7 linked regions of the Callithrix jacchus genome follow. Each later gene encodes a partner of the first gene's protein in a complex. Links are inferred from orthologs where the notes say so. Each region holds a gene or a part of one and is shown in the gene's direction. Other genes may lie near its edges. The genes, in order: SNRNP200, CRIPT, DHX16, RBM48, CWC22, SF3B5 and SART1.

Region 1 (3,500 bases):
CCCCTACAAGTGATTAAGGCCAAATAGGAATCATTTGCTGAGGCTGGGGTACCTGTTTTCAGTTATTAGCTTCTTTCCAAGAAGCTGAGGAGGGTGGGTTTGATCCAGTCTTGCCTTGGGGAGGAAAGGTTCTGCCATTCAACATCACATTACATGTCCATTAGGCGAAGAAAGCGCGATGAGGATCGGCATGACATCAATAAGATGAAGGGTTATACTCTGCTGTCGGAGGGCATTGATGAGATGGTGGGTATCATCTATAAGCCCAAAACTAAGGAGACTCGGGAGACCTATGAGGTGCTACTCAGCTTCATCCAGGCTGCTCTTGGGGACCAGGTGAGTGTGATACTGTGAAATATATATTCATTCTTTATTTCATTTCCTGGCAATACAGCTTCTAAAATCCTTGGAATCTTTGAAGTGGTAATGTCTTTTGTACGCTGATGAGTTGACTGATGGCTGACCAACCCCTTTATGGAGGCTGGTCATTGAATCAATCATGCCTATGTAATGAAGCCTCCATAAAAACCCCAAAAGGACTAGGTTTAGAGAATTTGTGGACAGCTGCCCACATGGAGGTTTCTGGAGGGTGGTGTGCCTGAGAGGGCCTGGCAGACCACACCCCTTCCCATATGCCTGCCCTGTGCACCTCTTCCACCTGTTGTTCATTGGTAGGCATCCTTTGTAATATGCCTTTTATAGTAAAAATAAGTGTTTTCCTGATCTGTTCTAGCAAATTAGTTGAACCCAAAAAGGGGATCATGGAAACCTCAATTTATAGCTGTTCAGTGAGAAGCATACATCAAATAACCTGTGCATGTGATTGTCATCATGAAGTGGGAGGCAGGCTTGTGGGACTGAGTCCTCAACCTGTGGGATCTGAAGCTTTCTAGGTAATTAGTGTCAGAACTGAATTGAATTTGAGGACACTCAGCTTGTGTCCACTGCACTATTTTTGGATTGGTTGCTGATGGGGAGGAATCATCACAGAAGCCTTCTATGTTAATCGTTGTGAGAGTATAGAAAAAACTGAGTTTGCTTTATTTCTGTATTCTCAGAGTGAAGCGGCCAAAGGGTGGGACCATGTGTTAGAAAGGGAGAGGTCATAGCTGGGAGACACCAGATGACCCTTGTCACTGGATCCCCATGGGGGCCGTGCTGGTTTACAGAAGTGGCTTATATTTACTGAGCACTTGATTTGTTTGGAACAGCACATGTCTTCTTTTTTCCCCCTCATATAACTCTGTGCAAAGGTGCTATTAACATCCATTTTACAGAAGAGATGTGAGGCAAGAATACTTAAGTAATTTTCCCAAGTCACAGAAGTAGTATTTGGCAGAGCCAAGATATGATTCAGGTAGTTTCTCTGTAGAATCTGTGTTCCTAACCATTACACATGTGTGTGTGATTAGATTGGGGACCATTATGAGTCTGAGAAGCTCTGGTGAGGGGGGTGCTAGAGGAAGTGAGGACAAAGATTTACAAAAGTGTGGGAGGCTAGAGCAGGTCTGCCAAGTGACTGCCACCTGGAGACGTGGCAAGCTATTCTGGAAGCTGTGTCCTGTTTCTTGAGGCCATCTAGCCAATCTTTTAAAAAACAGACGAGTCGGCTGGGCACAGTAGCTCAAGCCTGTCCCAGCACTTTGGGAGGCTGAGGTGGGTGGATCACGAGGTCAAGAGATCGAGACCATCCTGGTCAACATGGTGAAACCCTGTCTCAACTAAAAATACAAAAAATTAGCTGGGCATGGTGGTGTGTGCCTGTAATCCCAGCTACTCAAGAGGCTGAGGCAGGAGAATTGCCTGAACCCAGGAGGCGGAGGTTGCGGTGAGCCGAGATTGCGCCATTGCACTCCAGCCTGGGTCACAAGAGCGAAACTCCGTGTCAAAAAAAAAACAGACGAGTCTTCCTTTAGTTGTGGCATTTTAAATCAGCATTAATGAAAAAGATCAGAGCCTATTATGAGGCAGGTTTTGAAGAGGTGTGGCTCTTCACATCCTGCTGCCACATAAACCTGGTTGGTGATGTTCTGCCTATCATTGTGCTCAAAATTTGTTGGTTGTTTCTTGCCACCAGCCACGTGATATCCTTTGTGGGGCAGCTGATGAAGTTCTAGCTGTTCTAAAGAATGAAAAGCTTCGGGACAAGGAAAGACGAAAGGAGATTGACCTGCTGCTGGGTCAAACAGACGATACCAGATACCATGTGCTAGTGAACTTGGGCAAAAAGATCACAGACTATGGTGGAGACAAGGAAATCCAAAATATGGGTATGTAAGCTCTTTATGTCCTGATCATGTTAACGGTTGTTGACCCCTAAACATGCATCTTCTAGCATTATTCATTTAAAAACCGTAGTGTCAGTAAGTTCTCATAATTAGTTTTGCGTTTTTTGAGGAGTTACAATTGATGGACACCAGAATCCCTAGATTCCAGCAGCTGTTCCTTACTCTGAGACCCTTTATTGTGTAGAATAAGGGAGAAAATGTGGGCAGAGCCTTGGGGGCTCAAGTGTTTGAGCAAGCAGGGCTGGGCTGACTCCAAGGCTGGCAGGTTGGAGAAGGTCTTGGCAGTGGCCGCATAGGTGGCTCTCTCATGTTGATCATCTGAGTGTCTGTGTATCCTTAGCCCTTAGATCTTTCTTGAGGAGAGGTAGTTGGGGAGGACATTGGCTCCAGAGTTCCTTGTTTTACTAGCCATTCACTGCCCTCTTTTTCTAATCCTTCATTGTTTCAGATGACAACATTGATGAGACATACGGTGTGAATGTGCAGTTTGAGTCAGATGAGGAGGTGAGTGATAAAGCAAACAGACCCAGTCCATTCTTGTTTTTGAAGTTGTTTAAGGTAAAGGGACCCCTTTTAGTGTAAAGAAGCTCCCTTAAATGTAAATTTCATGATGATGTTTGGGTTTCAGACTTAGGCATTATATGTTCTTTTGCTTAAAAAAAAAATGCCGTTATCCTTTAACTTTTCTATAGCAAATTGAAACTAACAAATATAAAGTAATATAATTATTTAAAGTATACCAAGTGGATCAATAAAAAGAAAGACAAAAGGTAAAGTACAGTGAATACTTTCATTGAGAATGTATCTGCTCTTATTGTACTGCATTTTAACCTTCTTGCCATAAATTCCTATTTTTCAGTACTGTGTCCCGCTGTTTCAAAAGATTGCACATTTGCCTTAGAGCATGGACATAGTTCATACATGGTGTTGTTTTTTTTTTTTTTGAGATGGAGTCTTGGACTGTTGCCTGGGCTGGAGTGCAATGGCACAACTCTGCTCACTGCAATCTCCACCTCCTGGGTTCAAGTGATTCTCCTGCCTCAACCTCCCGAGTAGCTGGGATTACAGGTGCCCACCACCACGCCTGGCTAATTTTTGTGTTTTTAGTGGAGATGTGGTTTCACTATTTTGGCCAGGCTGGTCTCAAACTCCTGACCTCATGATCCACCTGCCTCGGCCTCCCAGAGTTCAGGGATTATAGGCGTGAGCCAC
Region 2 (4,250 bases), about 62 Mb from region 1:
AGACACTTAGGATAATTGAAAATATGCATAAAAGATGGGTATACAGTAGTCTTTTGATATCGGTATCTTTCATGGTGTTTTCCTGGGTGGCTAGCTAATAAAAAACAAGAAGAGCATATGCAATAATGACTTTTTCCATTGTCCAAAATGTTTCAACCCCTACAAATAAGTCATAAAGTCAATTTCCTATGGGCAATGTATTTGTTTCAAAACACCTGGACCTTATAATAGGTGAAGGGGAGAAAGGCAGCAAATCACACTGCCACGTGTGTACCTATGCAACAATCTTGCATGTTCTTCACATGTACCCCAAAACCTAAAATGCAATTTAAAAAATTGCTCTCACTTAATTCACCCAATGCTTTTCAAAGGCAGATACTTTACTGATAAGGAAACACGACAAACAGGTAAGGAGGTCCAAGTTCTCAAGAGCTACAGCCCTCTCTCTGGTACAACGAAATAAAGGGATGGAGAAGGAAACGGATGGCAAGAAGGGACAAAGGGAAAGTTTCCTATAGATTCTATCTTAAGCTGATTGAGGGAGGGCAATCATCAGGAATCCATCCTCACAACAAACCCTTCATCCATTTTTCTGAGCCACCCTCGGAATCGCAGCTGCCAACAGGAGATGCTCCTACAATAAGCAGGAACCAAACTCAAATGTTTGCTGAACGAATGAAGGAACCAGAGTATGTAAAGTGGGAAACTAACTCTCCTGGGAAACCCACACCGTGTTAGGCCCTGGCGTGCCCCCAGGACACCTACAAGGGTGCCACGGGTATGACCTGGCCCACCTCGCTAGGCACCGCAGCAGAGAGACGGCGCTTCCGAGCGGCCCCCAGAGGAGCCCTCGCGGGCATCGCCGCACCTTCACTGGCAGCCCCACCCCAACCTGGGTCGCTCGGGATTCTGCCCGAGCCTAGGCCGGCGCGAGCGTCGACAGCCAGGAACCAGCAGAGAGGCAGGATCAAAGAGCACGGGAGTTGGAGACAAGGGAAAACTGGGGGACAGAGGCAGAAACTCGGATCCGAAAGGGGGGGTCTGTCCATCAGAGCACGCCGGAAGAGTGGCGCTCGAGCTGAGGGCGAGAGCGGGCGGGCCGGGACGCCAAGGCTCACGGCTGCTACGGCAGTTCGCGGGGGTGGCTTGCACCCCGGGGGGCGAGATCGCCGGGGGCGTACATTGGGGCTTACCTAACTCTCCCACCCGCGGAAGGGAAGCGGGGAACTACTGCCTCCTACCATCAGGTACGACGTGCTACCCAGGCCCACCCGCAAGCGCAGGGTTAAGGGGCGGAGATCCAGGGCCGCATAGCCAGTAGCAGAAAGAGAGGGGCGGGCAGATGGGGCAGCCCCGCCTAGACGCTCCCGTTCATTCCTCCCGCGGCCTTCCAAGTTTGGGCTAGACCGGAGCGGCGTGCTTAGAAGCCGGAAGTGGGTTGACGTAGCCCGGAAGGGGAAGCCGTCCGGGTTTTAGTTTTGATGTTTTCGGGCTGCTGTTGCTGCTGCTGCTGCTGCTGTTGCGGCTAGGGGAACCGTCGTGGGGAAGGATGGTCTGCGAAAAATGTGAGTTAAGGGGCTCCTCCTGCGGGAGGAAGAAACTGGGGGAACCTAAATGAACTCTCCCGGGAACTCTGCCTTCTCTTTTGTTTTTTCTTCGCCCACATCTTTGATTCTAGTCGCTGTCCTTCTGCTCTACCCTTTGACCATTTTTGCACCTCCCCAAAGACCATATAGTCCTATAGTATATTTTGTTTTCAGAATGGTCTTAGTTCTGCATCTCCTTGTCTATTTCCATTGCCTTCCCCCAGCTCCAGATCTCATCAGCTCCCCTCCCGTATAAAAATGTTCAGTTAAACCCCAATCACACCTTTCCCTCTTGCAATTCCTGACCTTTCCTTTTTATTCATGTAACACACTAGAACCAAAGACCAAGGACCTCGTCTTACTCATTCCTGTTAGTCATTATGCCAGAATATGGCTTAGAGTAAGCCCAGAAGATGTGTGAATTGAACATCAACGCAAGTGCAAGTTACTATTTCCCTAATTTAACACCTTTAATAAATTCTCAGTGTGCAGAGAACAATGTGGGGATTCTGTATTTGGAGCCTGACGTTCAGGACCCTCCGCAATAAGGCCCCAACTTATTTTTCCAGCTTCATCTTCACTGATCCTTACCCTCTTCACACTTTGACCAAACGTAACTACCCTTTGTGCCCATGTGTACTCGGAGCTTTCCATGCCTTTCCTCAGAATGTGTCCTTTATCAGTCTGCCTTTATCCTCTTTACTCCTTTTTGTTCACAGTCCTATTGCCACATATTCAAATCCTCTCTCTTGCCTTCTCCCCAAACTTTCTTGGATTTCCTTAGCCAGGGTTATATCTTCCTGCATGGAATTTCACCTAGTACTTTAGCTCTCAATTATTACACCGTTTAATTTTTAGCTTATATTTTGGTTGAATGATTCTCAGGTTCTCTCTGAGAATCTGAAGAAAGCTATAGACTCTTGCCAGGAAAGAAAAAAAAAAGATATATAAAAGGTTTGTGTACAATTCTGCCTTGTTCACATATCTCTTAAGATCGACCTGTGGAACATAGATTAAAGATTGCTGTTAAACTACTGTACTATAATCTCTTTAAAATTTTGTCTGATTCATCACTTATTTTTTTCAGTAATTTGTATAGTTTATACATCATAGATGCTTAGTAAATATGTATGGAACAAATAGACTTGCCAGATTTGTTTAAAGTATAAACAAACAGAGAAAGCTTATTATAAGCCATCTTATTATCCTACGGATTTTACTGTGGATCAGTCATTCATTGCCCACAGTTAATACAAGTCTCAGTTCACTGACTGCTCTCCCAGCATTAACAGGCTCCTGCAGTAATAGGACTGTTGATACCATTGTGAACCTTAGGCACAATGTGATGCACTTATGAAATACTAAATTTTAAATTGCTTTTTACTATCTTATTATAACAGGTGAAAAGAAACTTGGTACTGTTATCACTCCAGATACATGGAAAGATGGTGCTAGGAATACCACAGGTATTTCTTCTTTTAGAAAATAGGAATTTAACCAGAGACTCCTGTGAATATTTTATCTTTTACGTTATTTGTAAAATGAAATGTGTTCAAAGTATTTTGTCTATTAAACATGAAAGAATCCTGGGTCCCCAAGTTATTTAATATCTTCTACTTAGTTCTGTTACTTGTACAGGTTCCTAACATCAGGAGATAGCAAAATTATTAAATGATTGTCAAGTGGTGACAGTATCATAATATTTGATTTGATTCAGCTTATTTAGAGACTGCATTTAATTTCTCCGCTCTTCTGAGGAGAAATTTTTTTAAATCTGGTTTTTATATTCTTGAATAAATCCTTTAACCCATTTTACCTTCATTATCATTAATTACTTACAGTGAAGTATTTACCTTCATTATCATTAAATACATAAAGTATGTTTTCGAAGGGAAAGAAAAGAAACATAGACATTCAAGGTCTATGACACTGAAGTAGTGGGTTCTAGATTTTACAGTATATCAAGTAAATATAGACCCATTCCTAAGGTACTACCTTGAGTCTGAAAAATAAAATGATTGTATTTTATACAAATTTTTATTGTTTCTCTAATAAATGTTTTCTTTTTAAGCAGCGTCTTAATAACCTGACTGTTAAATGAAGATTTAAAAATTAGATATAGGCTACTAGTTTGGCAGAAAGTCAGAGAATGAACTTCTTAATGTTATATGTTAAATGTATAGAAGTAACCCTTTAAAATAACTTCTATTTTGATACAGAAAGTGGTGGAAGAAAGCTGAATGAAAATAAAGCTTTGACTTCAAAAAAAGCAAGGTGGGTAAGAGGATCCATAGAGAAGTCATATAATTTTCACTCTTTTAATGTTAAGCCTACTGGAGTGAATTTGATGTGCATCATTCCAATTGCAATAAAACATAGAGTTAGGTGGTTCCTGGCACTCAGAACCAAGCTATTTGTTATAACCTGCTGGTTTTACCTTATTCCTCCTTACTGTATGTCCCCCTCTGACTTCATATTGTACCATACTCCTCCTCATTCATCATATGCCATCCTCATTGGTTCTGCCAAGCCTCCCCCATCCAAAGAGATTTGTCCTTGCTGCTGTGTCCTCGAGGTCTTTACTGAGAGCTTACGTATCTGGCTCCTTGGTGTTTGGGTCTCAGCTGAAGGGTCTTTTCTCGGAGAGGTTTCCCTAATCAGCCT
Region 3 (3,500 bases), on another chromosome or scaffold:
GCTTTCCCGGATCTCTAATCTCTGGCCTTTCTCTCCTTTCCCACCTAGCCAATCAGCCATTGTCTTCTGATTAATCCACCAGTTCTTGAACCTTTATGGTTCAAATGGTCCTTGAACTGACCTCCAGATACCATGGAGATGGGGCTGTAGGATAGAAGAGATTGTAGAGAAACCTCTTTTTCCGTCCCTACTCATCTCCAAGGTTTAGAAAACAATCAGAATAGAGGAGCATTGCTGCAGAGACTAAAATGCTGTGCGAAGAACATTTGAAAACACTTGGGTTGCTCAACTCAGAGGGAGAAACAGGGGAAGCATCCTGGTTCTTCTAAATATGTGAAAGCTGTTACATGGAAGAAAGGATCAGACTTGTTTTATGTGACCCTACAGGACATAGCTAGGAACCATGGGGAGGTTACAGGGAGACAGATTCCAGCTCCATACCAAAATGGCTGAGTCACCCTCAGATTGCAGGGCTTGTCAGAGTGGTTGGACCCTGGGGCTTGGTCCTCCACACAAGTCTTGGGTAGCTTGGTCTGTGAATAATGAGCTCTTAGTGCTGGAAATGGCCAACCAGGGGTTGGTTTAGCATGTGTTGAGGGGGAAAAGGGATTCATGAATGAGATTGGGGGTGGGATCAGGCCAGCTGAACAATATGTGCCTTTTCAACTCTTCAGAGGCTGTGAATTTCTGGCCCTGGAAGATCACAGTGGAGCAATTGGACAGATAGAACTTGATACTTCATATCCCTTGCAAAAAATCTCTGAGAACCCATGGAGAGCCAGCCAGTGCAAGAGTGTCTGATGCAGATGTTTTTGCCCATCGAGCCAGTGTGCTTTGTGGAATGGCTGGGGACTTTACCATCACAGTTAGGGTTAGGCACAGAGTTGAGGTTGGGAAGGTGGGTAGGGGAAGATGGGAATGAGTCCCTGGGATTTGGCTGCCACCCAGAAAAGCCAAAGAATAAAGCAAAGAGAAAGAAGGTGTCATGTACCTAACTGAGTTGGGGGAAACCAAGGGATGTGCAGAGTCCTCTGAGAGTTGGGGTTGAAAGGCTTAACTTGTTCCTCTTTCCTAAAGAAGAAACAGAGCCAGGAAGGATGCCAGAGGCAGTTGTTCCACAGGAAACCAGGAGCTTCTGGGCTGTCTGAATCACAGCAGCTCTGGTCTATTATCCCCAGCCAGCCTTGGTGGCCTCCTCTTACTGAAGGGGACCCTGCCCTCCACTTTTTTTTTTTTTTTCCTTTAAAACATATCCTTCCACTTTTTCTAGTAAGAGCTGCTGAGTCTAAGCAGACCCTTGACTGAACTAGAGGGCATGTCTGACTTGTCCTGGGTCAGTGTGCAGCCTCTACATCTTGGCTCCTATTGTCTGCTGAGGCTGGAATAGATTGCAGATCACGGGGCTGTGCCTTCTCTGACTTTCTGTTGGTCTTACGTAACTGGGATGGTGGCGTCTCCTTAGAGCCCCCTCCCTCAACAGTCATTCTTGAGCTCTTTGTGTCCATTACTCCCCTCTCATCCAGGGAACCCTGGTGTCTGATAACGCATAACCCAGCGCTCCTCCCTCATTGCTCCCCTATTACCTCTTCAGCGTGGTGATGGTGGATGAGGCACACGAACGGACCCTACACACAGACATTCTCTTTGGATTGATCAAGGATGTTGCTCGCTTCCGACCTGAGCTCAAGGTCCTGGTGGCTTCAGCCACGTTGGACACTGCCCGTTTCTCCACCTTCTTTGATGACGCCCCTGTGTTTCGAATCCCTGGACGCAGGTTTCCTGTGGACATCTTCTATACCAAGGTGCCCCCTCAGGAAGGATGGGCTTAAGTGTGTAGCGGAAAAGCTGGGGACTTTGGAGGAGGTTATCCCAAGGAGGGAAAGATGGAATGGAAAGTCCAAAGGGGAACTAGGATGAAGTGTATGTTGAGTTGGGAGGAGAGGAACGATTTGCCTAAGCAGGTGGCCCTCCTGTGACCCCATCTCTTTCTGCTCTCCAGGCTCCAGAGGCTGACTACTTGGAAGCTTGTGTCGTATCTGTGTTGCAGATCCATGTGACCCAGCCCCCTGGGGATATCCTGGTGTTCCTGACAGGACAGGTGCCTGATATGGTTGGGAGAGGGGGTAATGTATCCCAGGGGAGGACTAGGCTGGCATGTTGGTCTTCTGTGACCCTGGGACCCTTGCTGCTCTCCCCACTCTCTATCCAGGAAGAGATTGAGGCTGCCTGTGAGATGCTCCAGGATCGCTGCCGCCGCCTGGGCTCCAAAATCCGGGAGCTCCTGGTGCTGCCCATTTATGCCAACCTGCCCTCCGACATGCAGGCCCGTATCTTCCAGCCCACACCACCTGGGGCACGAAAGGTCAGTTGGAGAAACCCACACTCTTCACACCTATGCTTCACACAACAGTAGTGAAAAAGGTGTGTGCCTGCCCCATGCAAGGGGAGTCCTGGGCACTGCTGCAGACATAGCTGAGGAGCCATTCTCTCACCCCTGGGGCTGAAGAGAGAGGAGAAATACCGTATGAACCAAGAGAGAGCCAAATACGTGATCTGCAAAGTAAGCACAGTAGATTCAGTGGAGATAGGAAGTCCTTGATGGGCCAGGAGGTGGGATTTGATATGGACCTTTAAGAGAAATGGCTGAGGTTGGGTGCAGTAGCTCACGTCTGTAATCCCAGCACTTTGGGAGGCCAAGGCAGGTGGATCACTTGAGGTCAGTAGTTCTAAACCAGCCTTGCCAACATGGTGAAACCCTGTCTCAACTAAAAATACAAAAATTAGCCAGGCATGGTAGAGGGTGCCTGTAATCCCAGCTACTTGGGAGGCTGAGGCAGGAGAATCGCTTGAGCCTGGGAGGCGGAGGTTGCAGTGAGCTGAGATTGTGCCTCTGCGTTCCAGCCTGGGCGATAGAGTGAGACTCTGTCTCAAAAAAGAAAAATGGCTGAGAAGTTATCAGTGGAAGGCCCAAGGTGCGTCTGAGGTGAGAACGTCAGCTAGTAGGCTTAGTGGGAGGTTCATGCGGTACAGGAGTAGGAGATAAGGCTAAAAACAATTTGGGGCTAAGATTAGGGAGGGCCTTTGATGACAGGAGAGCTTGGACTTATTTATTTATTGTTTATAGACAGAGTCTTGCTCTGTCACCCAGTCTGGAGTGCAGTGGCAAGATCTTGGCTCACTGCAGCCTCTGCCTCCCAGGCTCAAGTGATTCTTGTGCCTCAGCCTCCCAAGTAGCTGGGATTACAGGTGCGTACCACCACATCCAGCTAATACTTTTTTTTTTTTTTTTGAGATGGAGTCTGGCTCTATCGCCCAGGCTGGAGTGCAATGACATGACCTCTGCTCACTGCAACCTCTGTCTCCCAGGTTCAAGCAATTCTCCTGCCTCAGTATCCCAAGTAGCTGGGATTACAGGTACATGCCACCATGCCCTGCTCATTTTTTGTATTTTTTGGAGAGATGGGGTTTTGCCAGGTTGGCCTGGCTGGTCTTAAACTCCT
Region 4 (4,268 bases), on another chromosome or scaffold:
CACAAGTCACAGGATTCGCAGGATGATGTATATTGTAAGCCAGTCACAAGTTAACAAACTATCTCTGTGCCTGTGACAAGCTGATAAATTATCTCAGTCCTGAAACTCTCTTAAGCTCCTCTCACCCCATAAAAGCCCCTCATTTTGTGAGCTCGGGGCTGCCTCCTCTGAGTGTTACCAACAGCCTGGCAAGTTAATAAGACTTGCTTGCCTGACTTTGGGTCTACTCTCCTTTCCTCTTGGCTAACCTTACAATGAGAACTTCAAATACGCTATCCTTTTGCCCCCATAAGCACACTCAAATTCTTGAGACCATGTGCCTCTATTTTTAATTATGAAAGTAGGGACGCTGTATCTCCACCAGTGGTTACAACTGTGAAACTTCCCTACCACAACGTCCAGAAAGGCGACTGATCTCAGAGCTTCAAGTGATCCTAACTACGTTACGTGTTCCTAACACACCACAGCTGTGTTCCGAGGGTCAGCGACGCCGCGCAAAACCATCATTGTATTAATCTTTCCCGCTTATGGGACGCGGTGGTCAGTCCCCGGGAATCTACCCGGGCTCAGCCAACAATTCTCCGCCTCCCTCTCGCGGCCGGGACGGCAGCAGCGCAGGTAACTGGAAATGACTGGCAAGAAAAACACCTTTTAAAATAACAAAAACAAACGACTTCTCAGGAGATATTCCAACCTGGAATAAGGAATATTTCTAAAAACAATGGTAGAATGTTAGAATGTTTCTAGGCTCAGTTTCACCAAGTGAAAAGACCTGGGATAAGACAAGCCCAGGGCTGCCCAGGACTTGTGGGACGCAAAGACTACTCAGAGGGGCCCTGTCCTCGAGGGACCCTTCGTCTGACCTCTGCGCGCTTCGGCGGCGCCCGAAAGGCAGCAGGCATCCCGCCGCCTCCCAGAGAGGTTTCGGCCTAGTCCGACCCCAGGCTGAACAGCAGGTGGCCGGAGCCGGCACGTTACCTGCAGCAGGTGCAGCTGGGCCACGAGACGCCGCGGCAGGTGGAGGAAGCAGTCGCGAGCGTTGGTGAAGACCACAGTCACTGCCGTCCCGCCTCGCCCAGCATCCGCCAGGAGATCGCTGCCCCACATCGTCCTTACGCGTCGCTCCGGGTTCGCCCCACCCCAGCGCCGCAGCGGACCCGGGACCTGGCAGGCCAAGGGCGTCGGAGCCGGAGGAGATAGATCGGCCCCGCCCCCTCTGACCGCTGCGCCTCTCGTCGCAAGCCTGTATTAGGTGGAACAAGCGAGCTTCTGCCACTCACCGCGCCTCTCCGCGGTGCCGCTCGCGGGGGCGGCAACTCGTTCATCAAATCCTCTCACGCAGGAAACGATGGCCGACGCTGTCGATTCTCCAGCCAATCGTGGGACTCCTTGACTCATCTCGCTCTCTTATTGGGGAAAAGGGAGCTCAGCAGGGCGGATGTTGTCCTCCCTGCGAGGATCAAAGCAGGCAAGATGGCGTCGAGCGGTGGGGAGTTAGGGAATGTATTTGACCACCACGTCCAGCGGGCGGTATGCGACACGCGGGCCAAATATCGGGAGGGACGACGGCCTCGTGCTGTCAAGGTAAAGTGATTTTGGTTTCATTCGCTCTCTTCGGTAGCTTTATATGAGTGCTAGCGCCATATAGCCAGTCTACAGAAATAAGGGCAGGACAAGGCTGCTGTCAGATCCCTCTCTCTTTAGAGCTAGCGTGAAGAACCTTGCTTGGGTCAGTTATCAAAGATTCTCACGATCCTTTTGGTCAACTATTAGAACAGCACCTCCACGAGAGTAAGGCTTGGTTTTAGTCATTGGATCTTCTGTATTTACAGTACTACTTGGCACAAGGTAAGCGCTCAGTGAATACTCGTTGAGTGATTGTTCCCGGTGAATTCTACCGACTCAATTTCTGGAAAAAAATGTCGACTGAAGGTAGTCTGTTATATGCCTTTGTTAGGTACCCTCTCACATGGGCTGTTACTCTTTATGCAGAGGGAATGAGAGACATTTTATTTTGTGTTTGGGTTGAACAGATTATTTCTTGTTTTGAAAGCGCTGTTTAAAAAAAAATAGAGGCAGATTCGTCCTAGGTTTATTTGCGAGATACATTTAACGACTCTGCATTTCTTTCAGGTATATACAATCAATTTGGAATCTCAGTACTTACTAATACAAGGAGTTCCTGCTGTGGGAGCCATGAAAGAATTAGTTGAGCGATTCGCTTTATATGGTCCAATTGAACAGTATAATGCTCTAGATGAATACCCGGCAGAAGACTTTACTGAAGTTTATCTTATTAAATTTGTGAACTTACAAAGTGCAAGGTAATGTGCAAGTTAAGCAGTGACTCATTTTCTCCATTCATATTTCTATCATTTTGGGCCCAAGTTTCCCTCATTCATACCTCATTCAATGTAATCTAGCCTATATTCCACTTATTTTCCTCTAGCCTTTTTAAAGGTATACTTTACTTGAAGCACTGTTCCCATCACATCATTCCCATGCTTAACAATTTAATGTCCTGTGGTGTGGTAGATTAAAAGTTGGGTTTGAAGTTAGGACACGGTGGCTCTCGCCTGTAATCCCACCACTTTGGGAGACTGAGGCAGGCAGATCACTTGATGTCGACAGTTCAAGACCAACCTGGCCAACATGACAGAAACCCCAGCTCTACTAAAAGTACAAAAATTAGCTGGGCGTGGTGGTTGGGACCTGTAGTCCCAGCTACTCAGGTGGCTGAGGCATGGGAATCACTTGAACCTGGGAGGTGGAGGATTGCAGTGAGCCAAGATCATGCCACAGGACTCCAGCTTAGAGTCCAAAAAGGCTGAAGTATGCAATGCCTTATCTATTTTTATGTTATAAAGCGAGGCTCTCAAAAAAAAAAAAAAAAAAAAAAGATGGGTTTGAGGCCAGGCACATGGCTCACACCTATAATCCCAGCACTTTGGGAGGTCGAGATAGGGGGATCACCTGAGGTCAGGAGTTCAAGCCCAGCCTGAGCAACATGGTGAAACCCTGACTCTACTAAATACAAAATTAGCCAAGTGTGGTTGCACAAGCCTGTGCTACTGGGAAGATTGAGGCACAAGGATCACTTGAAACCAGGAAGTGGAGGTTGTGGTGACCTGAGATCACACCACTGCACTCCAGTCTGGGCAAGAGTGAGACTGTCTCAAAAAAAAAAAAAAAAAGTTGAATTTGATCCCAGCACTTTGGAAGACCAAGGTGGACAGATTGCTTGAGCCCAGTTCAAGACCAGACTGGCCAACATGGTGAAACGCTGCCTCTACGAAAAATACAAAAATCAAGCTGAGCATGCCTGTAGTCCCAGCTACTTGGGAGGTTGAGGTGGGAGAATCAGTTGAGCCCAGGAGGCATAGGTTGCAGTGAGTTGTTTATGGGCCACTACACTTTAGCCTGGGGGACAGAGTGAGACACTGTCTCAAAAAAATAAAACAAAAAGTTGGGCTTGGAGTAAGTTTTCCAGTCCAACTGCTTACTAGCTTCATGACCTTGGACAAGTTATTTAACCAGGTTAAACCTGTTTTTCCTCTTCCATAAAATCTATATGCTAAAGGGACCTTCTTGAGGTAGTATGCTGATGAAATGAGATGATCCATATAAAGGGTTTAGCATAGTCCCTCCTGGTCAGAATACAGTAAGCATTAGCTATTGTCACTCCTTTCTGCGAATTGACTCAGTTTTTTCCAGCCTTCTATCTGATATAAGCCCTCTGCTCAAAAAAAGCTGAAGTATGCAATGCCTTATTTGAATCCTTGCTCCTCAAACGAGAGTATGAGCATGGCTAAGTTATATAATGTCCTAGTGCTTCACTTTCATTATACAGTTGTGAGGTATTAATTCAAGGGAAGCACTTATGACATTGCTTGGCATATGATAAAATCTCAACAAGTATTAATATTATCCCTGGATATAGGAGTAGTTAAATTTATTTATTGTAGTACTTGGCATATCATAGATGTTTAGTAAGTATTGACTGAATAACATTTTTATTTTCTCATTGTTATATATTTAGTATTTCCTCAGTTATTGAAGGTATTATGATTATAGTATTTTTCATCTGATTTTTAAGGCATAAATCCCATTACAGAAATACATTGTGCTGAAAAAGCTTAATTGGATATGAACTAACTCTTCAGGGCCACAGAAAAGCTCTATTTTATGACCAGAGTTTACATACCTCAGGCCAACCAGCTGGGTCCTTAGTTGCTTAAAGACTAGGGAACAAATCCAAGAGGTTTAAA
Region 5 (3,500 bases), on another chromosome or scaffold:
GGTAATATTGAGCATTTTTTTAATATATATATATATAGGCTATTTGTACATCGTTTGAAAAATGTCTGTTTTTGTCATTTGCTCATTTTTTAGATTGGGTTATTTGTTTTCTTACTATTGGGTTGAATTCCTAATTTATTTTGGATATTAACCTCTTAGCAGATACATGGTTTGCAAATGTTTTTTCCCATTCTGTAGGTTGTCTCTTCACTCTGTTGATATTTTCCTGTACTGTGCAGAAGCTTTCTAGTTTTATGTAATTGCATGTGTCTCTTTTTGTTTTGTCACCTGTGCTTTAGGGGTCATCTCCAAAAAAATCATTAACAATACCAGTGTCTGGGAGCTTTTCCTCCTTGTTTTCCTGTTAGAAACTTAGAGTAGTTTCACAATTTCAGGTCTTATGGTTTAAGTCTTTAATCTATTTTGCGTGGATGTTTGTATATGGTGTGGGACTAAGATCTATTTTCATTTTTCTGCATCTGGATATTCACACAATTTATTTATTTATTTTTATTTTACTTTAAGTTCTGGTGTGTATGTGCAGATCTTGCAGGATTGTTACATAGGTATACACATGCCATGTGGTTTGCTGCCTTCATACCCCTGTCACCGAGATTAGGTATTTCTCCTAATGTTATCCCTCCCCAATCCCGCTACTATCCCTCCCCTAGGCCCCCACCCCCCAACAGACCCCAGTGTGTGATGTTCCTCTCCCTGTGTTCATGTGTTCTCATTGTTCAACACCTACTTATGAGTGAGAACATGTGGCCTGACACCATTTATTGAAGATACTGTCTTTTCCCTATTGTGTCTTCTTAGCCGCTTTGTTGAAAATCAATTGACTGCAAATGGCTGGATTTGTCTCTGGTTTATTTGTTCTCTGCAGCTCTATGTGCCTCTTTTTATACTACTATCATGCTGTTTGGATTACTATAACTTTCGTAGCAGATTCTAGGTCAGGTAGTGTGATGCCTCCAGCTTTGTTCTTTTTGTTCAAGATTGCTGTGGCTATTTGGAGTCTTTTGTGGTTCCATGTGAGTTTTAGGATTGTTTTTTCTATTTCTGTGAAAACTGTAATTGGAATTTTGAGAGATTGAGTCGAATCTGTATGTTGCTTTGAGTTTTATGGACATTTCAATAGTATTATTTCAATCCATGGACATGGGATGTCATGCATGTTCTTCCAGTTTTGCATCAGTAATTTGTGGTTTTTGGTGTATAGACCTTTCATAGGTTTTCTTTTTTCCATAACTATTATAAATGGAATATTTTCTTGATTTCTTTTTCAGATAGTTCATTGTAAGCATATGGAAGCACTACTGATTTTTGTATGTTGATTTTGTGTCTGCACCTTTACTGAATTAGTTTATTAGTTCTAACAATTTTTTTGGTTAAGTCTTCAGGATTTTCTATATTAAGATCCCATTTACAGCAAAGAGACTTCTCTATTTTTTATTTGGATTCCTTTTATTTCTTTCTCTTGCCTAATGGCTCTGGCTAGGTCTTACCGTACTATGTTGAATGGAATTGGAAAGAGTAGGCACCCTTTTGTTATTCCTTATCTTAGAGGAAAAGCTTTCAACTTGTCACTGTTGAGTGTTATTAGCTATGAGCTCGTCATATATGACCTTTATTCCAATTTAATTTCTAATGAGGGTGGAGGGATAATGTGAGAGAAATGGGAAAGATGAGCAATAAATTTCAGAAAAGCAGAAGGGAATCACCATATTCTATAATATGTGGCTTTAAGCAATTGGTGATACTTAAAAGGGTCAAAAAATATAAGTACCCCATTTTCTATTTATTATTTTAAAATCTATGGGCTGTTTTCTCATGTCATTTTACATGACTATGATTCTTTTAAAAAATAGGGAATATAGTAGCCAGGCATGGTCGTTCAACATCTGTAATCTTAGCACTTTGGGAGCCTGAGGCAAGTGGATCAGTTGAGTCCAGGAGTTTGAGACCAGCCTAGGCAACATTGTGAAACCCCATCTCTACCAAAAATACAAACAGTAGCTGGGTGTGGTGGCATGCAGTAGTCTTAGCTACTCCAGAGGATGAGATGGGAGGATCGCTTGAGCCTGGGAGGTGGAGCTTACTGTGAGCCAAGATCATGCCACTGCACACCAGCCTGGGTGACAGAGTGAGACCCTGTCTCTCCTTAACCTTACCAAAAAAGGTTGGGGTATAAAGTAGATGTAGCAAGTTGTAGAGGTACAGAAAGTTGATCAAGAGACAGCCACTTAACCTCACCAAAAAAGGTTGGGGTATAAAGTAGATGTAGCAAGTTGTAGAGATACAGAAAGTTGATCAAGAGATAGCCATTATCCTTAAAAGTAGGCAGAGGGCTCTCCATTTTACTTAGGAAAAAAAGTAGAGTTAGAAGAGTTATGGATTGCTAAAGATATTATAATTTATAAGCTGCATCCTTTTTCTCATTTTCTACTCTAGTGATTCAGTTGTCATATCTAAACCTACCATTAAGACTTTTTTTTCTGACTTTTGGCAGTCCAATAATTACTTGTCATTACATTGCTAAAAATAACTTCAGTTTGCCTGATTTGCCTTTTTCCCCTTTCTCATCAAATGCCTATAAAAACATGACCATTTTCAAAATCAGTTACAAGTAGATACCTTTTCATTTCCTGTCATTGTTTTAGCATTAATCTAGCATTGCTTTTAATTGTGTCTTTATTTCTCATAGGAGTATTCCAGATCTTCATTTTATTCTACTAAAATTAGACTTAAAGATTTAATGTCAAATTTGTCTTTAATAACAAAATTAATTTTAAAAAAAATGATGGACCTGTAGTAGAAGCTTTGTATTGTCTAACTTTTGAAGCAGGTCTGTTTTTGTTTACTTTTTTGAAAGTGTTAAACAAATTATTTATATGAACCTTAACCTCAAATTCATAATTACATATAACAAACAGATGGGGATAAGAGGAATTATATATAGAGAGAAAAATTTTGAAGATAAATTGCAGTAAAATCTTTATTCTATTTTACAAAATCACAAATTCACATTTTGTTTTCTGAAAAACAATTTTTATTAGTAAGATGAACTCTTTCCATTTAGTTCTGATTTCGATTTTATGATTATTTATAGAGAACTCTTACTGTATTTTAATAGTTTTTGTTTCATGTAATTAATTTGGTGATTACTTTTGACTCCTTTCTTATTTTTTAAACAGAGGACTGCTGTCCAGATCTGTTCTGCAAGCACAGAGTGCGTCTCCAATCTTCACCCATGTTTATGCAGCATTAGTGGCAATTATCAACTCAAAATTTCCACAGATTGGAGAATTGATCCTCAAGAGGTTAATTCTTAATTTTCGAAAAGGCTACCGAAGAAATGATAAGGTATATATGAATGGCTTGTAAGTAGAATTATACATAAGAACAGACTAATAAACCAGTATCAACAAAAGTAAGCAAGGTTAGTTTTGACACAGCTACATATATCATACTCTTTAAAAACTGTCTTTCTTGAGAAC
Region 6 (2,460 bases), on another chromosome or scaffold:
ATCCATATGAGGAAGTTATTAAACTAAAAATTAGGATATAAAGCAATAATAAGGAAGAGATGGATAATCTGCAAAGAGGAAGAAGAATTTACATCTGTCTGGAGCAGCCAGAGAAAATTCTAGGGAGATGCATTTGAGCTGCCTTTAAGGCAGATGCGTTCACCAAGGGAACAGACATTCCAAGTAGAGGGAACAGCTTGCACAAGGAACTGGGGAATGGGCACAACAGGTAACATGGAGAAGTACAGTTGTCCCTCAGTATCTGTGAGTGATTGGTTCCAGGACTCCATGGATACCAAAACTAGAAGATACTCAAGTCCCTGATATAAAATGGCTTGTATTTGCATATACACACATCCTCCCGTATAGTTTTTCTCTAGATTATTTAACAATACCCAATACAATGTAAATACTATGTAAATGGTTGTTATATTGTTTAGGGTATAATAACCTTTAAAAGTCTACACTTCGGTACACACTAATTTTTTTCCCAAATATTTTCAGTCGGGTTGGTTGAATTCACAAAACCCACTGAATGGAAGGGCCAAGTAGGGTGCCGTGAGGCATTGGAGGGAGGATATCAAAATAACTGGCTAGAGAGGAAGGAGGAACTTGAGGTGGAGCCGGAATGTGAGGAAATGGGTACTGTACTTGCTCACCAAACACCCTGGTTAGAGCTGAAATAACTCTTTGATGCTACAAACTCCTAAGCGACATAGTTGGGACCAGAACTCGCGCCTACTGACTTCTGGGTAATCCATCCCGGGTAGTGAAGGGACTGCCGTGCCGCCACGATAGGTCCGAAATACATAAGAGTTTATTTTCGGGGTTGCTCGTAGTCCACTCCTATTTGGGTTTCCCATTTCCCATCAGCCCCAAGCCAACCACGGATGCTTCCCGCCTCGCAGACAACACCCTCCACTAGGCACCCATACCGCTTTTAAAAGGCGACCAGAAGTTCCGGAGGCTGGCGTGCACGAACTCCAAAGACCAAGACCACAAGTCCCAGCATGCAACGCTCCCGGTTGAAAAGGGCCTCTCATAGCCACTAAGCGGACCATCATGCAACGCTCTATGAAGGGGCACGGCTCACTACAGGGGCGGCACACTTGTAGCGTCGCATACCTCGGCAACTCCAATTCCGTGACTGATGTGCTTCCGCTTCCGCTTCCGCCTCTGAGCCCTATGAGCGAGAGTTACACTACTTAGTCTCAGTGACGCCATTCTTCTGCGACCGCGTGGGCCCGGAGGTGCTGTGCGGTGTCCTCACTCCCGCTTGAAACGGTAGAGCGGTGACTTGTTTCCTGCGGCCTCTGACCTCGGAGCGAAGGGGAAAGCGGCGAGATGACGGACCGCTACACCATCCACAGCCAGCTGGAGCACTTGCAGTCCAAGTACATCGGCACGGGCCACGCCGACACCACCAAGTGGGAGTGGCTGGTGAACCAACACCGCGACTCGTACTGCTCCTACATGGGCCACTTCGACCTTCTCAACTACTTCGCCATTGCGGAGAATGAGAGCAAAGCGCGAGTCCGCTTCAACTTGATGGAGAAGATGCTGCAGCCTTGTGGACCGCCAGCCGACAAGCCCGAGGAGAACTGAGACTGCCTTACCAACGCCGTGCGCGGCGCCTCTCCCAGCGTTCCTCCCGTTTGCCAAATCCCTCGAGTATTCCTGCCTTCAAGGGACCGGCTCTCTCCATGGCTCCTGCGTCCCGCGCTTTCTGCGTATAGAAGTGCTTGCCGGGGAAGTCCCTCCTGACCCGCCTTCATGTGGACACTTTGGGACAGCATTGAGAGACCAGCAGGACCCCTGAGAACTGTGCTGGCGGAGAGGTCCTGCAGCCGGCAAGTCTCTGAGAAGAGGGCGTGGCGCTGGAGTGAGATGGGATTTGGCGTCTCGTTTTTGCCTAATTGATTGTCATTGGCTTTTTCCATAAAGTTTAGAAATCGTTCAGTCTCTTGGTGTGAACTTCCTGTGTTAGGGTGGAGGGCTCCGGAAAGAGCTCCAGGCACCGAGGTTCGCGAGAGTCCGAGTGGGAAATGGGTTTGGGTGAGGGTGCGAATGCCAGTGTCTGTGGCCAGGCACTTAGATATGCCTGTATACCTTTATAGTGTTCCCCGACTGCCACTTCCTCCAAGAGCTTTATTTTCAGTCTCACAATGACTTCAGTTTTGAAGTTTGCGGTTAATGTATCCCATCTTTTTCTTCTGTTTTAAAAATCTTTGCTGTCATTGTTTTCCCTAGCCTCTTTAAATTACATCCTTTCTTTTTCCTGGGAATTTGAAACCATGTCTCCAGAAATGACAAGATGGCAAGCGAGTTCATCCATTCTACATTCAACAAATATTTGTTGAGCTCTATGTGACAGGCATTTTCCCATGTTCTTGGGTATACATTAATGCTGGTGGTGGAGAAAGGTCAAACACTGTAGGCATAGCAAGCAAATGTTAGAAG
Region 7 (3,955 bases), on another chromosome or scaffold:
GGGGTGGACCCTCAGAGGGGTGCATACAACATACCCTAACACAGACTGACTGTGCCACACAGGGAGCCACAGTCTTAGTAACCGTTGGGTGGGGGGAGGGGTTTCAGGAGGGAATGTGTGCATTGGTCTTTTTAAGTTCCAGTAGTTTTAAGTTAGGGATCCTCTCCTCAAGAAAAAAAATCATACACACAGATGTGCCATATTTTGCATTCAATTTCAGGGGTTCCACGGACACACTGACACCCATGTGGAGCTCCTTAACAGTTCACACGTTTAAAAAACCCAATCCAGGGCCAGGCAGAGTGGCACACACCTGTAATCTCGGCACTTGGGAGGCCAAGGCGGGTGAATCGCTTGAGCTCAGGACCAGCCTGGACAACATAGTGAGACCCCCGCCCCCATATCTATAAAAAAATACACAAATTAGAGGGGCGTGGTAGCGTGCACTTGCAGTCCCAGCTACTGGGAAAGCTGAGGTGGGAGGATCACTTGAGCCCGGGAGGTCAAGGCTGCCGTGCACGGTGATGGCGCCACTGCACTCCAACCTGAGGAACAGAGTGAGATCCTATCTCAAGAGAAAAACAACCCGGGGGACGTGGGAAGGCAGCGTTCCCTGAGGATACTGGTTCTAGGGAGTCGGAAGCTGGGCTATGCAATTGGGGACCTCGGGAAAACAACACCCGTTGGAGCCACGACCCCAGGAGTCCAGGAAGCGAGCGCCCACTGTAGGAGGGAGGTGTCCACGGAGACCGTGAGGTAGTGAACACCACGTTGCCGGGGAAGTACAAGCGCAGGGAGGCCAAGGAGGAACTTCCAGCCTCGAAGACACTGGCTTAAGGTGTCTGAACACATTTGATAGTGTTCAGTAAAGTTATTTGCTGTTTGTGTGGTGGGTGGAGCAGGTCTAACTCCTTCCAGTTTTGGGATCCCATCTCCGGGGTTAATTCCGCGTCCCTTGAGGAGCGCATGCGCAACAGGACCACCTGCTCACAGAACCCACTGGACCCAAGACCGCGCGAATGCGCAGTGGAGCCCTGATCCTAGCCTTCCCATGAGCCTCTGGGGCAGGCTCCAAGGCGAGCGGCGGAAGCAGCCGCTCTTAGTTTCCCGCAACACGACAGCGGCTGCCGAGCGACCCGGAAGTGTTCCCATTTTGCGTTGTCTGGGCTCGGCAGCGGCCGGGCTTGGGGCTGACGCGCTACTATGGGGTCGTCCAAGAAGCACCGCGGAGAGAAAGAGGCGGCCGGGACGACGGCGGCGGCCGGGACCGGTGGGGCCACCGAGCAGCCGCCGCGGCACCGGGAGCACAAAAAACACAAGCACCGGAGTAGCGGCAGTGGCGGTAGCGGCGGCGAACGACGGAAGCGGAGCCGGGAACGTGGAGGCGAGCGCGGGAGTGGGCGGCGCGGGGCCGAAGCTGAGGCCCGGAGCAGCACGCACGGGCGGGAGCGCAGCCAGGCAGAGCCCTCAGAGCGGCGCGTGAAGCGGGAGAAGCGCGACGACGGCTATGAGGCCGGTGAGGAGGCGGGACCTGCTCAGGGGGCGGGGCGGGCAGGGGTCCCGGAGCGGGCGGGTCTGGGTGTGCGCGCAGTGGCTGCGAAGCTCTCCAGGCCGGGAAACCCCCAGACTGTCTACGTTAACTCCTATTAAATAGTTTTTCTACGGCACCTCTCGAGCCCAAGAGTTAGAGGCTGCAGTGAGCTGCAATCGCGCCAGTTGCACTCCAGTCTGGTCAAGAAAGCGAGACTGTCTCAAAAAAAAGTATTTTCTATGGTTGATTAGGATTAGAGATTGACTTTCTCCACCTAGCTCCTTGAGGACAGAGGGCTTCTGTTTTCCTCAGTTGTCTGGTACAATTACAGATCCTCAATAAATGTGTTGAATGAATGAATGAAGTAGTATCAGCGTATGCAGAGGCGAGAGAAACCTGGTATTGGAAGAATCGTGTAGGGCTCATGGTAGTGAAATGAGGGAGTAAGATAAAGATAGTTAGGGATGTGAACACAAAGGACCGTGTACCGTAGGTTCCGTTAAGAAATATAGATTGTCTTGAGGTTGGTAGGGAGCCATGGATGTGAGTTGAGGAGTGAGTTGCTCAGATCCATATTTTGTAAACATTGCTGGATTGAGAACTTAGTCAAAGGTAGTCAGGATTGGAGACCAGGAAATCAGGACTGCTAGAGACCACATGAGGGCCGATGGTAGCCTGCACCAATGCAGCAGCAGTGGGATGGAGAGAAGTGGACAGGTTGGAGAGGTGTTTTGGAGGAGGAATGAACAGAACTCAGCACTTGTATGAGACTGGGAAGGAAAAGGCATTGAGAATGATTCCTTGAATTTTGACTTGAGCAGCCAGATGAGTTGTGGGTGTCATCTCTACTGAAACTGAGGAGCAGAGAAGAGAAGCAGATTTGGAGGGGGATGGATAATTGGGGTTGTGGAGCTTGATGTGCATGTGAAAAGCCAGAGTTTGGACTGGATAAAGCCACTGGGAGTCAGTATCTGGGTGGCCAGTGAAGCTTGTAGGGCTGATGGCCCACAGGGTGTGCCTTATGCTGTGCTGAGGCGCAGGATCCAAGGAATAAAGAGACAGGACAGGCCGGGCACGGTGGCTCAAGCCTGTAATCCCAGCACTTTGGGAGGCCGAGGCGGGTGGATCCGGAGGTCAACAGATCGAGACCATCCTGGTCAACATGGTGAAACCCCGTCTCTACTAAAAATACAAAAAATTAGCTGGGCATGGTGGCGCATGCCTGTAATCCCAGCTACTCGGGAGGCTGAGGCAGGAGAATTGCCTGAACCCAGGAGGCGGAGGTTGCGGTGAGCTGAGATCGCGCCATTGCACTCCAGCCTGGGTAACAGGAGCGAAACTCCGTCTCAAAAAAATAAAAAAGAGACAGGACACAGAAGTACAGGGAAAATGCAGCTGGGCTCGAGGGGCCACGCCCCTATGAGTGGAGTCAGGTGAGGCCCCAAATGTCCAGAAGCGTGAGTGTTTGTTGTGTTTAGGTTAGGGGGCAGGGCAGTGAGTGAAGTCATCTTTAAGGATAGTGATAGGGTCGTGAGCAATAAAACAAGGGGTCCACCCCATTAGGTCACCTAGGCTGGGAGGTGGACAGTGTGCAGCAAGGCGTCCATTCCCATTAGGTCATCAAGGCAAGGGCCGTGTGCAGTAAGGGGTCCACCCCCATTAGGTCACTGAGGTATGGAGGTGGGCCATGTGCAGTGAAGAGGGTGCAGTGTGCAATACCTCTATCTATGGGTAAGCTACTAAGAAGATTTATAGGAGGATGCTTTAAGTCACATAGCAGTGACAGAGCTGTCAGGGTCTATGCCACCTGCTGGCAGCTTCCAATAAGTTCTATAGAGGAATGCTTTTCGAGCAGCACAGTAACAAGAGCTGATAAAGTTCACAGTCACCAAGGTGTGATTGCCGGTCTGAGGGCAGCCTTCCACAGGAACTGGTGCAAGGTCCTACAACTCCTTTATCAGGAGGAGTGGCTCTTGCCCCAAGCCTGCCATACAGCGGGTATCTATAATACTGAATGCTGCTGCCTAGGCCATGGATTCTTGCCCTGGTATAACATTTTTCCCTTAAATCATGCGGTGCTCTGTGTCTGCTCTAGGCATTCCTCCGATTATAAGCTGCTTATTCCTTAATTCATGCTCTGTACTGTATCTACTCTAGGCATTCCTCTGATTATAAACTTAGATATAGTTTTAATATATATGAAAATAACTGAGTGGTAAGATATTCTTTAGGCACTCATTCTATGAACTAATGTGTGATCATATAGAGAGGATTGTACAAAGGGAAATAACTGAGTAGTAACACTGTAAACAGATACTCTCCAAGCCCTAATTCTATAAACTAATATATAATCATATAAAGGATTATATAAAAAGAAATAACTGAGTAGTAACACTATAAACTGAGGTATTCTCCAGGGCTTAA

What was found.
Region 2: SNRNP200 (region 1) and CRIPT share a complex: the UniProt entries of both Homo sapiens proteins name them as parts of the minor spliceosome. The link is inferred for Callithrix jacchus from reciprocal best matches to the Homo sapiens genes SNRNP200 and CRIPT.
Region 3: SNRNP200 (region 1) and DHX16 share a complex: the UniProt entries of both Homo sapiens proteins name them as parts of the minor spliceosome. The link is inferred for Callithrix jacchus from reciprocal best matches to the Homo sapiens genes SNRNP200 and DHX16.
Region 4: SNRNP200 (region 1) and RBM48 share a complex: the UniProt entries of both Homo sapiens proteins name them as parts of the minor spliceosome. The link is inferred for Callithrix jacchus from reciprocal best matches to the Homo sapiens genes SNRNP200 and RBM48.
Region 5: SNRNP200 (region 1) and CWC22 share a complex: the UniProt entries of both Homo sapiens proteins name them as parts of the minor spliceosome. The link is inferred for Callithrix jacchus from reciprocal best matches to the Homo sapiens genes SNRNP200 and CWC22.
Region 6: SNRNP200 (region 1) and SF3B5 share a complex: the UniProt entries of both Homo sapiens proteins name them as parts of the minor spliceosome. The link is inferred for Callithrix jacchus from reciprocal best matches to the Homo sapiens genes SNRNP200 and SF3B5.
Region 7: SNRNP200 (region 1) and SART1 share a complex: the UniProt entries of both Homo sapiens proteins name them as parts of the U4/U6-U5 tri-snRNP complex. The link is inferred for Callithrix jacchus from reciprocal best matches to the Homo sapiens genes SNRNP200 and SART1.

The regions. Positions count from the first base shown.
Region 1 is NC_133515.1:6,146,103-6,149,602, reverse strand, and holds part of SNRNP200 (U5 small nuclear ribonucleoprotein 200 kDa helicase), read left to right. Parts: intron 1-164; coding exon 165-336; intron 337-2,077; coding exon 2,078-2,270; intron 2,271-2,736; coding exon 2,737-2,792; intron 2,793-3,500. UniProt on the Homo sapiens protein: Catalyzes the ATP-dependent unwinding of U4/U6 RNA duplices, an essential step in the assembly of a catalytically active spliceosome. Plays a role in pre-mRNA splicing as a core component of precatalytic, catalytic and postcatalytic spliceosomal complexes.
Region 2 is NC_133515.1:68,132,468-68,136,717, reverse strand, and holds the start of CRIPT (cysteine-rich PDZ-binding protein), read left to right. Parts: upstream 1-1,450; 5' UTR 1,451-1,549; coding exon 1,550-1,565; intron 1,566-2,986; coding exon 2,987-3,052; intron 3,053-3,805; coding exon 3,806-3,860; intron 3,861-4,250. Other genes in the region: PIGF (GPI ethanolamine phosphate transferase, stabilizing subunit), read right to left, coding at 1-94, 795-1,049. UniProt on the Homo sapiens protein: As a component of the minor spliceosome, involved in the splicing of U12-type introns in pre-mRNAs. Involved in the cytoskeletal anchoring of DLG4 in excitatory synapses.
Region 3 is NC_133505.1:35,454,728-35,458,227, reverse strand, and holds part of DHX16 (pre-mRNA-splicing factor ATP-dependent RNA helicase DHX16), read left to right. Parts: intron 1-1,591; coding exon 1,592-1,802; intron 1,803-1,999; coding exon 2,000-2,098; intron 2,099-2,209; coding exon 2,210-2,362; intron 2,363-3,500. UniProt on the Homo sapiens protein: Required for pre-mRNA splicing as a component of the spliceosome. Contributes to pre-mRNA splicing after spliceosome formation and prior to the first transesterification reaction.
Region 4 is NC_133512.1:57,090,155-57,094,422, reverse strand, and holds the start of RBM48 (RNA-binding protein 48), read left to right. Parts: upstream 1-1,468; 5' UTR 1,469-1,473; coding exon 1,474-1,584; intron 1,585-2,133; coding exon 2,134-2,324; intron 2,325-4,268. Other genes in the region: peroxisomal ATPase PEX1, read right to left, coding at 979-1,107. UniProt on the Homo sapiens protein: As a component of the minor spliceosome, involved in the splicing of U12-type introns in pre-mRNAs.
Region 5 is NC_133507.1:49,040,851-49,044,350, forward strand, and holds part of CWC22 (pre-mRNA-splicing factor CWC22 homolog), read left to right. Parts: intron 1-3,197; coding exon 3,198-3,366; intron 3,367-3,500. UniProt on the Homo sapiens protein: Required for pre-mRNA splicing as component of the spliceosome. As a component of the minor spliceosome, involved in the splicing of U12-type introns in pre-mRNAs. Promotes exon-junction complex (EJC) assembly.
Region 6 is NC_133505.1:150,851,934-150,854,393, reverse strand, and holds SF3B5 (splicing factor 3B subunit 5), read left to right. Parts: upstream 1-1,224; 5' UTR 1,225-1,344; coding exon 1,345-1,605; 3' UTR 1,606-1,960; downstream 1,961-2,460. Other genes in the region: uncharacterized protein LOC118153004, read right to left, coding at 1,126-1,224. UniProt on the Homo sapiens protein: Component of the 17S U2 SnRNP complex of the spliceosome, a large ribonucleoprotein complex that removes introns from transcribed pre-mRNAs.
Region 7 is NC_133511.1:123,038,134-123,042,088, forward strand, and holds the start of SART1 (U4/U6.U5 tri-snRNP-associated protein 1), read left to right. Parts: upstream 1-1,155; 5' UTR 1,156-1,203; coding exon 1,204-1,516; intron 1,517-3,955. UniProt on the Homo sapiens protein: Plays a role in mRNA splicing as a component of the U4/U6-U5 tri-snRNP, one of the building blocks of the spliceosome. May also bind to DNA.